Arabidopsis thaliana: one gene and its partner. The protein of the gene in region 1 interacts with the protein of each later gene in a biochemical or structural test. Each region holds a gene or a part of one and is shown in the gene's direction. Other genes may lie near its edges.

Region 1 (8,840 bases):
CAGCCACCTATTAACCCTAGCCACAACACACAATACTTTGGATCATCATCATCATCAAGAGGAGGAGGGAGATTTGCTCAAGGGGCGTCTCATGATCTTAATTTGAGCTTAGGGCTCGGATCCATGAATGAAGATGATGACACTCACCGGAGCCCACCAGAGACCGGAGGTTCTCAACCTCAAGATGGTGATCTTGATCTTGATCTTCGACTCGGCGGTCATCGTCATCATTAAGCTTGCAGCGGTTTCCCTCACGTTCGATCCACGTAACCATATACAATATATATATATAGTTGAAAGTTAATCACCGTATAGTGCATGATGTTTATTGTGGTGTTTATATATGTTTTCAATATATATGTAGTATGATCAAAATATGTTGGACTTGGAGTCATGTTTTTATCATGATCGTATGAAGTTTGGGTTTGTATAATTCAAGACTATATTTTTCACTTAAAAATTATAGATCAAATAGGTTAATTTGAGTAATGTTTTTGTTATACCTTTTTCAAAAAGAAAAAAAAATGTTCTTGTTGTCTGAAGTTGGGTTTGTATAGTACAGGATTATTGTTCTTTTCCATAACTATATATTAGTGTAGATCTATAGATCAAGTAGTTTTGCGTAATATGTTCTAATAATTAGTTACGTTGTATGAAATTTGGGTTTGTATAATCAAAGACTATCTATCATTCTCTTGTATAATATTTTACATGAATTTACATTTCAAGTGGGTTTGTATGAATTTACATTATAAAGTAAGTTTAAACTTATATTATGAATGAATTCGAACTGCAATGGGATAAACATTATATGCGTTTTAATAATAGGTTGGTGAAGTTTATAATTTACACCATTTGAAAAGCCTTCCAAATTTAGAAACTACATTTTTGCAGACCCATGTGAGCTCATATGAATCAATCATAGCCTTGATGTTGTAAAACAAATTATGATTATAAAAATGTGATAGTATATTACATGCATAAAAAATAAAGGAGAGTAAATGAAAGTCAAATCTGGGTTTTATGAACTGAAAGTTGAAGTTTAGAAGTAGAAGTAGCGATCAAAGTATGACCAGTTAAAAGGCCCAATATCATTTGGAGGTTTGATTTTTGGGTTCGTAAATTTCAAGAGCCAGATTATGATTTGCTGGGCTTAAAAATCATGGAAAAATTGAAATGACGGTGTTAAAATATATAACTCAAATTAAAGATTTTAATTGGGTGTAGTAGGCTGATTTTTTTATAAGAATCTTGTCTATAGATGCTTCAAGGTTATGCCTTATAGTACTGGTTGTAAAACACCACTATCTAATTTTGAAGCTGGTCAGAACTATAAGGTATGTTGTTGTTGGCCTTGTTGCTAATGAAGATTATAACATTCTGTTGTTGCATTTTTTTTTTTTTTTTTGTGTTAAATATATATATTTTTTTTGCATATTTATTGTTGCATATTGTGTTGCATATTTAGTAATGGTTACATTCCCTGTTATCGGAGATCCAAGATAATACGGCTCTTGTGGCATGGACTACTACTCCATGGATTCTTCCAAGTAATCTTGCTTTGTGTGTCAATGCAAAGTTTGTCTATCTTAAGGTTCGTCAACAACACTGGAAAAGTCTACATTGTTGCTGAATCTCGGTTGTCATCGCTTCCTAGTGATAAGCCTAAGGCCGGCTTAACTAATGGAACTTACTAGTGATACCATAATGCGAAAGGTGCTAATTAAGCTTGACAGTGAAGAGGATTCTTATCAAGTTTTGGAAAATTTTAATGGAGATTCCTTGGTTGGGAAGAAGTATGAACCTTTGTTTGATTACTTTTAGCGATTTCTCAAGTGTGACTTTTCGACTAGTAGCAGATGATTATGTCATGAATGATAGTGGTACTGGTATTGTCCATTGTGCTCCTGTCTTTGGTGCAGATGACTATCGTGTTTGTCTTGAGAACGAGATAATTAAGAAGGTTAGATTTGACAACATCTTCCTTATATCACCACCTTTAACATTAAGTTTATTTTCTTTCTTGTTTAAGTTTACAGTATCTTCAAGAACCCATGTTCATGACACATTTTGTTCATGTGTTGTTTAGATTGTCAGAGATTTCAAACGTCCAGATGGTTTGAAAGATACAGAGATTGATGCAGCTGTAGATAGTACATATCTTAATTAAAAATACCACTTCTCTATGCTCTATTGTTGAGGAAACATATAATATTTGCATTCGTTCATGGTTCAGATATGATGTTATGGTAATTCTTGATCTACGAGAAGATGAATCTTTGAAAAACGAAGGTGTTGCCCGTGAGGTAAATAAATGTAACCGAAGCGATTAATGGTCATATATAAGTTGTATATTTGATATATGGGTTTCCTTCTCATTGTGCTCATGCATTGAAAAGCACCCTGTTATGACTGTGGTTCTAGGAGAACATTTGCATTTGACAGTCGGTGACTAATTGTTAAGCAAGAAGAACGCATGAGAGCCTTTTAAAGTGTTTTCTTCTAGATCGTTGCAAAAAGTTAAATGTCTCTTGAGACTTTGTACTCATTCTATAGATAAAGATGGGATTTATTACAAAAACAACAAGAAACTTTGTTACTTGTGGAAATTCAAAATTATCCGAACTAGCTTCACAAAATATGCTCAAGAGTTTCAATGTATTTTTTTTTGTTCTGTAATTGTATGACTCCGTTTGAAGCATCAAGATTATGGTTATAGGTAGTGATGCTAAAACTCTCTGTTGTTACAGTGACCACTAAAAACACCAACAAAAAAAACTTAGGTAACGTGTCGTCTAAAAACTTCTAGGTTCAATTTCTTTAGATAGTACTATCAATAAATAAAATAAATATGTACAAAGGCTTTAAACAATGATGTTTTTCAAAGATGATTGGTAGATACTAATTAGAGCTTCAATATAAAAGAACACATGCGATTCTGACATTCTGTGGTCTAACATGGTTTCTTCTAGAGTCAAAACCATACAATTAAAAGTTAGGAAAGTAATAGCAATGTGGTTTCAAATATATACTCATTACTCTTTAGATTCATGTATGGTGAAGGAAACATTATAATAAAATCAAAGATCACAGTTTTGTAGGTCCCTCATATTAATCAACATCTTAAGGCGTTATACATATCTTCTTTTTGTAAATATTTGACTAATTAAAATATCTAATTAGAGTATTAGACTAATCTCATCAAATATCCGACTACTTGTGTCAGTTCAAAACACAGTGATTACGTTAGATTTTGTGCTCTTTTGTTTATAAACAAAGCTAATTTAAGAAATATATGATCTATTTGCCTCCTTGGTCTTAATTTTATACTTTCTTGGAATAAAACACATTTATTAAAATAATTTTTAGGTTCCTAGATTCATGTCATGTGGCTTGATAGTTTCCAACAATTATACCAATATTTTACTCATTCATATACAAATAAACAAGCTTTATTCTATTCTTCAGTCTCATGATATACGGGATTTTGATAAAATTCAGAGTACCCATTAATTATTCTATGTTACAGCTTGTAATAAGTTAAATTTATAAAACGTACAAGTTGAGGAAATAACAAATGTTTTCAATATTAAATGATTTATTAATACATTAGTGACCAAAAAATTATTAAGTGTAAGAAAAAAAACACAACTCAGAAAAAATTCAAAAGACCGTCTAAGTTCGGTTCATGTAAGAACAAGTGGGACCTCTTTAAGTTTCTAAATCAGAGAATAAAGAAGAAGAAAAAATCTCAAAACCTTCCTCTAAAACCAACGGCTCCTACCTTTACTTACACCCTATACATACACTTCTCTTTTTATCCTCCATCGGCGGCTTATGGCGGTTTTCCGGCACTAATCATCTCCGGCATATATAAATAAACGTACTTCACGTTTTTTTATATAACTTCAAAGTAGTTTCAGATTTGTCTCTATCTCTTCACTTTTAAGTCTTCTGGTTTTGTCATCACCAGCTTTTTTTGTTCTGTCTCTGTCTTTCTCTTTGTGTATTTTTATTCTCGTCATCGTTGTTCTTCTATGAGAGGAAGATCGGAATGTCGAAGAGAATTAGAAGATTCTCGTACATCACTTCGTTGGAATTTCACAGGTCGATGAGAGATCTGAGAACTGTTTCATTTTGATCCAAACTCATCTCTTTCAGGTATTCCAAATTTTTCTTTCTCTGTTCTTTCTACTATTACCCAAATTAAAGTTTTGATTTTTATTTCTCACTCTGTTTCTTGTTTTTCTAATTGCAGAGTATAATGGACTAAGCATTTTTTTTCTCCGAAGATGGTTAAAGAAATAGCTTCTTGGTTATTGATACTATCAATGGTGGTGTTTGTTTCTCCGGTTTTAGCTATAAACGGCGGTGGTTATCCACGATGTAACTGCGAAGACGAAGGAAACAGTTTCTGGAGTACAGAGAACATTCTAGAAACTCAAAGAGTAAGCGATTTCTTAATCGCAGTAGCTTATTTCTCAATCCCTATTGAGTTACTTTACTTCGTGAGTTGTTCCAATGTTCCATTCAAATGGGTTCTCTTTGAGTTTATCGCCTTCATTGTTCTTTGTGGTATGACTCATCTTCTTCATGGTTGGACTTACTCTGCTCATCCATTTAGATTAATGATGGCGTTTACTGTTTTCAAGATGTTGACTGCTTTAGTCTCTTGTGCTACTGCGATTACGCTTATTACTTTGATTCCTCTGCTTTTGAAAGTTAAAGTTAGAGAGTTTATGCTTAAGAAGAAAGCTCATGAGCTTGGTCGTGAAGTTGGTTTGATTTTGATTAAGAAAGAGACTGGCTTTCATGTTCGTATGCTTACTCAAGAGATTCGTAAGTCTTTGGATCGTCATACGATTCTTTATACTACTTTGGTTGAGCTTTCGAAGACTTTAGGGTTGCAGAATTGTGCGGTTTGGATGCCGAATGACGGTGGAACGGAGATGGATTTGACTCATGAGTTGAGAGGGAGAGGTGGTTATGGTGGTTGTTCTGTTTCTATGGAGGATTTGGATGTTGTTAGGATTAGGGAGAGTGATGAAGTGAATGTGTTGAGTGTTGACTCGTCCATTGCTCGAGCTAGTGGTGGTGGTGGGGATGTTAGTGAGATTGGTGCCGTGGCTGCTATTAGAATGCCGATGCTTCGTGTTTCGGATTTTAATGGAGAGCTAAGTTATGCGATACTTGTTTGTGTTTTACCGGGCGGGACGCCTCGGGATTGGACTTATCAGGAGATTGAGATTGTTAAAGTTGTGGCGGATCAAGTAACCGTTGCGTTAGATCATGCAGCGGTTCTTGAAGAGTCTCAGCTTATGAGGGAGAAGCTGGCGGAACAGAACAGGGCGTTGCAGATGGCGAAGAGAGACGCGTTGAGAGCGAGCCAAGCGAGGAATGCGTTTCAGAAAACGATGAGCGAAGGGATGAGGCGTCCTATGCATTCGATACTCGGTCTTTTGTCGATGATTCAGGACGAGAAGTTGAGTGACGAGCAGAAAATGATTGTTGATACGATGGTTAAAACAGGGAATGTTATGTCGAATTTGGTGGGGGACTCTATGGATGTGCCTGACGGTAGATTTGGTACGGAGATGAAACCATTTAGTCTGCATCGTACGATCCATGAAGCAGCTTGTATGGCGAGATGTTTGTGTCTATGCAATGGAATTAGGTTCTTGGTTGACGCGGAGAAGTCTCTACCTGATAATGTAGTAGGTGATGAAAGAAGGGTCTTTCAAGTGATACTTCATATAGTTGGTAGTTTAGTAAAGCCTAGAAAACGTCAAGAAGGATCTTCATTGATGTTTAAGGTTTTGAAAGAAAGAGGAAGCTTGGATAGGAGTGATCATAGATGGGCTGCTTGGAGATCACCGGCTTCTTCAGCAGATGGAGATGTGTATATAAGATTTGAAATGAATGTAGAGAATGATGATTCAAGTTCTCAATCATTTGCTTCTGTTTCCTCCAGAGATCAAGAAGTTGGTGATGTTAGATTCTCCGGCGGCTATGGGTTAGGACAAGATCTAAGCTTTGGTGTTTGTAAGAAAGTGGTGCAGGTGAGTTTCCTTACATATCTCTTTCTAAAGTTCCTGTCATTAGTCTGAGTTTCTGTTTAGGAGTTCTTTGATAATGTGTGCAGTTGATTCATGGGAATATCTCGGTGGTCCCTGGCTCGGATGGTTCACCGGAGACCATGTCGTTGCTCCTTCGGTTTCGACGTAGACCCTCCATATCTGTCCATGGATCCAGCGAGTCGCCAGCTCCTGACCACCACGCTCACCCACATTCGAATTCTCTGTTACGTGGCTTACAAGTTTTATTGGTAGACACCAACGATTCGAACCGGGCAGTTACACGTAAACTCTTAGAGAAACTCGGGTGCGATGTAACCGCGGTTTCCTCTGGATTCGATTGCCTTACCGCCATTGCTCCCGGCTCGTCCTCGCCTTCTACTTCGTTTCAAGTGGTGGTGCTTGATCTTCAAATGGCAGAGATGGACGGTTATGAAGTGGCCATGAGGATCAGGAGTCGATCTTGGCCGTTGATTGTGGCGACGACAGTGAGCTTGGATGAAGAAATGTGGGACAAGTGTGCACAGATTGGAATCAATGGAGTTGTGAGAAAGCCAGTGGTGTTAAGAGCTATGGAGAGTGAGCTCCGAAGAGTATTGTTGCAAGCTGACCAACTTCTCTAAGTTGTTATCTCAACTTCTCTTCTACATTCAAAATTTTTACACCATAGATTTATGTCAAATATATCAAAATGAAATTTCGAAATTGTTATTATATATACCACCCATATCTCTATGATTTGTACATCCTGTTTTTTTTTGTTCTTTTTCTCATTTTGAACCCCACGAAATTGCATTGAATCTTAGTATTTCGTAGGGTCAAGAAGGAGTCAGTTTCGTAGTTTTTTGTTTTCTTTATGTTACGAACTTACGAAACTGAATATGGCATTATAGAGTTTTGAAGATAAATTTTCTTCGTTACTACTCTACATCAAGTTAATTCTCTAGTAGGTATTAGAGCTCTCTTAAATTATCCTGGAACATGAAAAGTTGTAGATAATGTCGTCTGCCACTTTTGTAATAAACTTTTCAAACAAAAGAATCATTGAAAAAAATGTGTGACTTTATTAGTTGTTACCAGTAAAAATCAAAATATAGTAATTATTTGTTAGATTCATGCCCCCTGGACTAGAGAAGATTACATTAAACAAAACTGCACATTCCTCGAGCCTATTAAACTAAAAGAACTGCATAAAATAAAGTAGAAATGGATTGGATTTGCAGAAAGTGAATCTAGGGAAGAGATGGGTTTACGTAACTTGCAATTATATATTCAAACCCACTTGTGCTTATACATTTGTTTCTTCGAACCCGACAATCTTTGACAGATTAGTCTTAATTATTAGTTAAAGTACTAATTATTTGATAACTACAGTGAAAACAATCATGTCCAAATAGATAACCACTCTTCACTTTACACTTTCAAGAATCCAAATATTTCCCCCGGCTGCCTACAGTTATTGCGAGTAAAACAGTTTAGAGAAATAAAGAAGAAGAAAAAAGATTGATTTGTTACATTACATCATAAGTAAAATTATGTAAATAACTGATGTGCTAGTCTAAATCGCGTCTAAAATTTTCTTTTGTGTATAAATTAAGAATCTTAGGAAATTTGTGGTACTAGGAAGTTATTATTGTTAGTTATTTTTCATAAGTAACTAATTTCGAAAAACAATTATTCAGAAAATATATAGGCTTATTTAAGTTGATCAAAAATAATTGCTATTATGAAGCCGAAATGATAATGGCTTGAGCCACAAGATCAAGACCAAAGGGGTCGTTCCTAGTCAATATAGCTGACAAAATGATTTGCAAAGTCTTGAAATACCTTATCACCATCAACTCATAAATAGAAGATGTTCGATGTATTATTCATTCCAAAGTCGAACAATATACAAAAGGGACCGATGCATGTGTTAATCTTAATCATACCTCCTTTTTGTTTATACCCAAGAAAAAAAAAAGTATAATATGTGAACACATAACATAGAAGTTTTGCTTTCCCTCTATTTTTGGCTAAAACAGAAAGAAATTCATATCTCTTTTTTAGGTCTAGAAGAAAGAAAAAAAAAAACAAGAACACAAACGTAGATAGAGAATTCTACTCATATTATCCAAAATATAGTCAATTCGATCCAAACTTCTTGTTTGCTTGTGATCACGTCATTCACAAAAGATAAATTAGCTTTGTCTTAACATTATATGTTAGTCAAAGGAATTGAAGTATATCAACTACTGTTGTCTTCTAGTTTACTAGGAGGCCCTTGTTCAATTTTCCTAATTTTCTAAGTTAATTTCCACTAGAGAAATAGGAATATGAATACGAGTTATAAAGTTAATAAAACCAAAACTTTCTTGAATTAATAGTTCAGCAATTTGATGTATTTATATATTCAGCAAAACACATAGGAAGATCTAGCTAGAAATTCTGGAGCTTAGTCTAGATACAAAGACTATGCAGAGACCTTTACCAACGACTGATTTGATATAAAGAGAACTTTGGGCCAAAGGTTGATCTAGTTCTTAGTCAATATAAGGTTAGGCCCAAACCCCAAAAGCCTTGACCCAATATATTAACTTTCTTTTTCATTCTTACACACAACAATCAATAGCAACAATAAATGAAATTCTCATCGTTGACACACAAAAAAAGAAAATCTCAACCACAAAAATGTCAAGCTTGGTTCAAAAAACATCAATGCACTTTTTGCCCTACTCAATCTCTCTCTGATTAAATGCATTCATCACCTAACATCTCTCTCTCTTG
Region 2 (5,182 bases), on another chromosome or scaffold:
TTGGCAGGTACGGCAGGGTTGAACAGAGTCGTAATAACAGGAAAAGCACAGAATAACAGTTACATCTTGTAAATATCCGACTCATACCTTTGTAAAGATCCACGTTTCTTGTTTTCTTTTTTTTTTCTTTCTTTCTTTCTATTCTTAGCAAAATAGATTTCATTCTTGTTTTTTCACCACCACCCACAAAGTTTGATTCTGTTTTTCTGTTTTTGGTATATATAGAGGGTTTGGTTTGTTTGTTTTTCCATTTTTTTCGTAATTTATTAACCGCCAATTCATGCGCGGCAATAAATTGTGTTATTAGACCTTTGAATCCATTGTGTTGAAAAGTTACCAACAAACTAAAACATAGCATCCTGATAGAATTATTGCCAAAAGGTTTCTTTAAAGGTTAGAGAGGCCTGCGTTTCGAGACCGGCTAATTTCTAAGAAATCTGGCCCCAAAAATATTTATCTTTTTGCACCCGAAAACACTTTATGTTAGACGACAGGAGCCTCTGTAGTATACCACCTAAGGCTTTCTTGACACGTCGTGTAATGGGCTGACTTCAGCAACACACCTTCCTATATAGAGTACTTAAAAATGTGGACAAAAGAAAAAGTGTAACAAGATTAGGATTTTTTTAGATGCTTCATGTTTCAAACTCTTTTCATTAAACAAAATCTTTTTAATTGGCTGGTTAAACCAAGGAAAAGGTGTAACGCACTCTTGAAGAACAAGAACATCCCAACTGGCTAATTTGCTCTTGCAACTAACTTATTTGTTCAGAATATTTTTATTTAATTCTTCTCATTAAATAATTTGATTTTGTTGGCTGTTGGCTGGCAATTGTTCGCCCACCAAAACCAAAAGCTGTCGGATATTTCTGAGATTAATAAAAAAAAATATACAGCTCTTTTCTTCAATGTTTCAGAATTCAATTCGATGAGGTTAGATTAACAATAAAAGTTCAATCAACTGAGTTAGTATGTTATACACTACATTGTCTACGAGAACCAGGGGTTCTGTCTACAGTTCAGAATATACCAAACGAGTTCTTGATTACAAAATTGTAGCATCACAATGTCAACATTTATATATTAGTATTTTTAAAACGTATTATATTTTCGAAGAAATATTTTAGTGTAGTACATTGAACCGATCACAGAGTCAAATGCACATAAGCAGGGTATTGTTTACGTGCGATAAACAGGTTTATATCTGGATTCTTTTTATACATATATATATATAAATCATCACACAGATTACTACTACTAATTAATCAACATTAATCACTATCACTAAGGTATTTAACTAATGATGATCGACGACTATTTTGTTGTTTGATTTCTCTTAGGCTAAACTATTGATAAAAACAAGTTTGGATCACTTTATAAAGGTTTTCTATACTTCTTTTACCAATTAGCTTATCTCCCACAATGTGCAGTTCGATCAAAGACAGATGCTTTTGTTTTATGACTTCAATTGTCGAATTAGTTTTTATTCAAGAAAGTATAAATTTAAATACGTACATATTAAAATATATGGACCGCTTGTGTTCAAAAAAACATATATATAATAACTAAACTACAAGATTTTGTGTGTAATAATTAAAAAGCTAAATTACTATACACCCTATTCTTTCGGCCAAAACCGTAACTTTAAGCGCGACACTAAATATAATTATCATGGAGATCTTATCTCAATCATGATGTAATCTTTATCTAAAAATCATCGATCACCCTTGCTTGGTCCGATTCATTGCACAACAAGACACAAGAGTAGATTGTCCAGCCCACATACACACGTATGCACATATCAACATGCATCCACACACACTTACACATAATATATAATATAGATTATTAAATAAAATTTAGAGCAAGGGGACACCAGTTTTACAGATTTTGTAGCCTCCTTTATCTTTCTTAGCTGTTCTCTTTCTCTCCCTGTCCCTCAATATAAATACAAAGAACCCAATACTTCCTTCTTACGTACCAAGAAAGTTAGTTTCTCAATTCCTGATAAAACATACACAAAACAATAATCTTAATTTCAAGAAACTACTACTATTGCTAAAAATCAGAGACTTTCGCTAATGGCTATATTCGGTAAACTGACAAAGCTCAAGTCTGCCATAAAGAAATGGCCTTCCTTGACCAAGAACCACCATTCAACCATGTGTACCGCCTCTACCGCCGTATCTGAGGTCTCAAAGTGCGAGGATCTCCATGTGGTTTACGTCGGAAAGTCACGAAGACCTTACATGCTTAGTTCCCACGTCATCGCTCATCCGCTTTTCCAAGAACTACTTGACCGGTCGTCTAGATTTATCGAAGAACGTCACGACCAAGAGACCGTCTTAGTAGCTTGCGAAGTCGTATTGTTCGAGCACTTGTTATGGATGCTCAAAAACAGTTCCTCTGATCACGGCGATGAGGATGATCGCGAAAGAGGATCCGTCGAGGAGTTGGCTGAGTTCTATACTTATTGACGGCGCGATACATATCCATATATACTTTTATTTCGTTAATTTTGGAATTTGATTCGACATGATCCAATAATGCGGTCATGCACAGACCATTTTCTTTGCTTTTGTTTTTCTCCCGAGCAAATTTTTAGAGTTAACTAGTAATCTTTAACTAATATTATAATTATGTCGGTCGAAAGAGGGTAGTAGTATCTTGCCCCAAATGATGATAAATTGTAACATATGCTAAAATTGTTTTTTATGATTAGCTCCATTTGATATACATGTACTCTACAGTAGTACGTAGTTATGAGATTTTCGAAAGAATAAAAGTGGCCGCCACATGATGATGCGCAGGGCTACCCAATTGCACGGACGGTTGTCCTACTTGCCTTTCTAGTGGCATCAAGCTGTCACGGAAACAAATATTTAAGTATAAATTACTAACTACGTCTATAAGTGTATCCAAGTTGTAATGTGAAGTGAAATTAGGTATAAACTTCTTGGAGTAATTAATTAAACATGACTACGATGTGAGTATGTATGGCTCGTAATCATAATGGTGGTTTTTAATAAAATAATAAAATATAGGATGCTCATTAACTCGACCAGCATAATTATTTATGTAGTTCTTAATATCTCATGTCAAGCTATAGCCTATATGTAGATAATGGGATATCTTTGCCTGAATATAAACAAAGAATTATGTATTTCAACGTTGAAAAAAAATTCGTATTAATTGAATCTGTATAAAAAAATGGACACTTTGTGGATTTACTATTGGGGAATATATTGGAGAACTTGGGCCAAATAGGCCCATTTAATAAGATTGGTCTCGCAAAACGGCATCGTGGCGTAGAAACAGTGACGTGCAGCTTGGTGGTCTTCAAGTTTGACTGTTAATCGGTAAACAGAGGCTGATTGTGCGACGGTGACGGCAAATCCAGTGAGTGAGTTCCTATCATCTTTGCTTCGTTTAGTGGAAACTCTAAAACTTTAGAATAGTTTTAGTTAGTCTTTAGCATTTGGCTTGTTCTAATTATCAGATCTTCTTGTTCTGAGATTTTTCTTTCCTGTGCATTTCGGAGCAGAATATGAATTCATATGGCAACCTTTTTATTAGCGTCTGTGATATATGTCGGGTTTTTCTGAAGGATTTGGGGACAATTTGTTTTTTCACCAGCTGCATTTGTGATTACCTTGATCGATTTTTGGCTGACAAGGTGTTTGTTGAAAAGCTTCAAAGGGTAATAATAGTCTTTAGTCACTAGCGTATGGTTTCTGTTTAGGATGCGTCAACTTCTGATATAGCTAACCTTGCAAAGACATTACTTTTTATACGTTTTCTGGAGTCTGGTTCTGATCATTGAGGTTTTGTGTGTGTGTCATTTAGTGTTTACCATTGAAAAATTGGAGCTTTAATTCCTAACAGTCATTTTTATATATCTTAGACAAGCTTTCTTTGTTTTCATCTGGGAAAGCAGCTACAGAGACATGTCAAGGTTTCGATCGTTGTTGCAAGCCTCAGTAAATGCGACAAAGAAGGGTATTCGCCTGCCACTTTTCCGTCAATTATCATGTGTCGTACTTGATTCTTTGATCTTTTGATTTTTTTTTTGGTTTGTGTGTTGATGTTTCGTTTTATTTTGTGCTTGTGCTTATACTTATTAGACAGTGACTGATTGCAAGTGATGTTTGAGGAAACAATAACGTTGCTTCTATGTTCCAATGCTTACAAACTTTTGGGATCACATATATATTTCTATACTAGCCTTTATGCTTTTGAATGCAGCAAAGATTTGCTAGTTTCTGACTTATCTTCACCCTGTAAACTGTTAGCTCTTACATGGAACGTTGAAGAATGGGTGCCACCTGCAGAGAAGCATATATTTAAGTTCCACTCTAAAGAAGACTTAAAGAAATGGCATCTCTATTCCGACTCTGAATATGGAGGTACTTATGCTGACAGGTTTAAGCATCTGCTCCGTAAAGAGTATCTGATATTGTTTCTGTTGTCATTATCCCTTTCATTTCCATGCCTCGGTGATCCATATGAACAACTATAGACAAAATAAGATTTCTGAAGATCGGCATTGCACAGATTTACATTGATATGTAAACAATATGCTATGCATTTTAATATTTATCTTGTGGCAACCTGTTTGAAGTTTGATACTTATTTGACAGGATTATCTTCGGCTTCCTTGGAGATCCCAGATAAAGGAGATGGATCAGATTGCACTGGTTAGCAACTTTGTAATTTCTTCTGTGATCTATCATCGGCCCTCCAGCATGTCTTGTTGTCATGAAGTTCATCAATAAAACAATATGAGATTTCTTCTATGTCATCATTTCTTAATTTCTCGTTGACTCGTTGTGCTTCTACACTGCTCCACTTAGTGATGTTTTTTCATCCAAATATCTTTTATAGGAGTTTTTTCGGGGAACCTATCTGTAGACCTTAGCGAAGGATCAAAATGGAACATCAGTCGAAGTGGTTTCTGTGGAATGCGCTCAAAAAAGGTGAACAACACAGAGCTTTCATTTATCTTACTAACCATTCTTATTCAAAACATATTTTCTGCATGTCAGTCTTTGTTTGAAGAAAAGAAGGAAAATGGGTTACTATATCTTAGTCCTGGTTTTGTAAACGAGAGACTTTTTGAGTCAGCTTACTATTGCAACTAATTCTAGCATCCTCTGCTTTTCTAGTTTGATGGCTTCATTGA

The links. The genes of interacting proteins can lie anywhere in the genome.
Region 2: the proteins of ETR2 (region 1) and AT1G17345 form a complex in vitro, tested with the Arabidopsis thaliana proteins (one study listed by BioGRID).

What each region holds. Positions count from the first base shown.
Region 1 is NC_003074.8:8,250,864-8,259,703, forward strand, and holds ETR2 (Signal transduction histidine kinase, hybrid-type, ethylene sensor), read left to right. Parts: upstream 1-3,695; 5' UTR 3,696-4,161; intron 4,162-4,258; 5' UTR 4,259-4,292; coding exon 4,293-6,059; coding exon of another isoform or gene 6,060-6,107; exon of another isoform or gene 6,108-6,142; coding exon 6,143-6,697; 3' UTR 6,698-7,025; downstream 7,026-8,840. Other genes in the region: URO (C2H2 and C2HC zinc fingers superfamily protein), read left to right, coding at 1-234; AT3G23145 (ATP binding / aminoacyl-tRNA ligase/ nucleotide binding protein), read left to right, coding at 1,275-1,337, 1,496-1,594, 1,778-1,963, 2,090-2,153, 2,269-2,333. UniProt on the Arabidopsis thaliana protein: Ethylene receptor related to bacterial two-component regulators. Acts as a redundant negative regulator of ethylene signaling.
Region 2 is NC_003070.9:5,938,444-5,943,625, forward strand, and holds AT1G17345 (SAUR-like auxin-responsive protein family), read left to right. Parts: upstream 1-1,848; 5' UTR 1,849-2,081; coding exon 2,082-2,477; 3' UTR 2,478-3,082; downstream 3,083-5,182. Other genes in the region: AT1G17350 (NADH:ubiquinone oxidoreductase intermediate-associated protein 30), read left to right, coding at 3,948-3,999, 4,293-4,406, 4,641-4,697, 4,885-4,976, 5,166-5,182. UniProt on the Arabidopsis thaliana protein: May be involved in the regulation of ethylene receptor signaling. Promotes cell expansion and plant growth.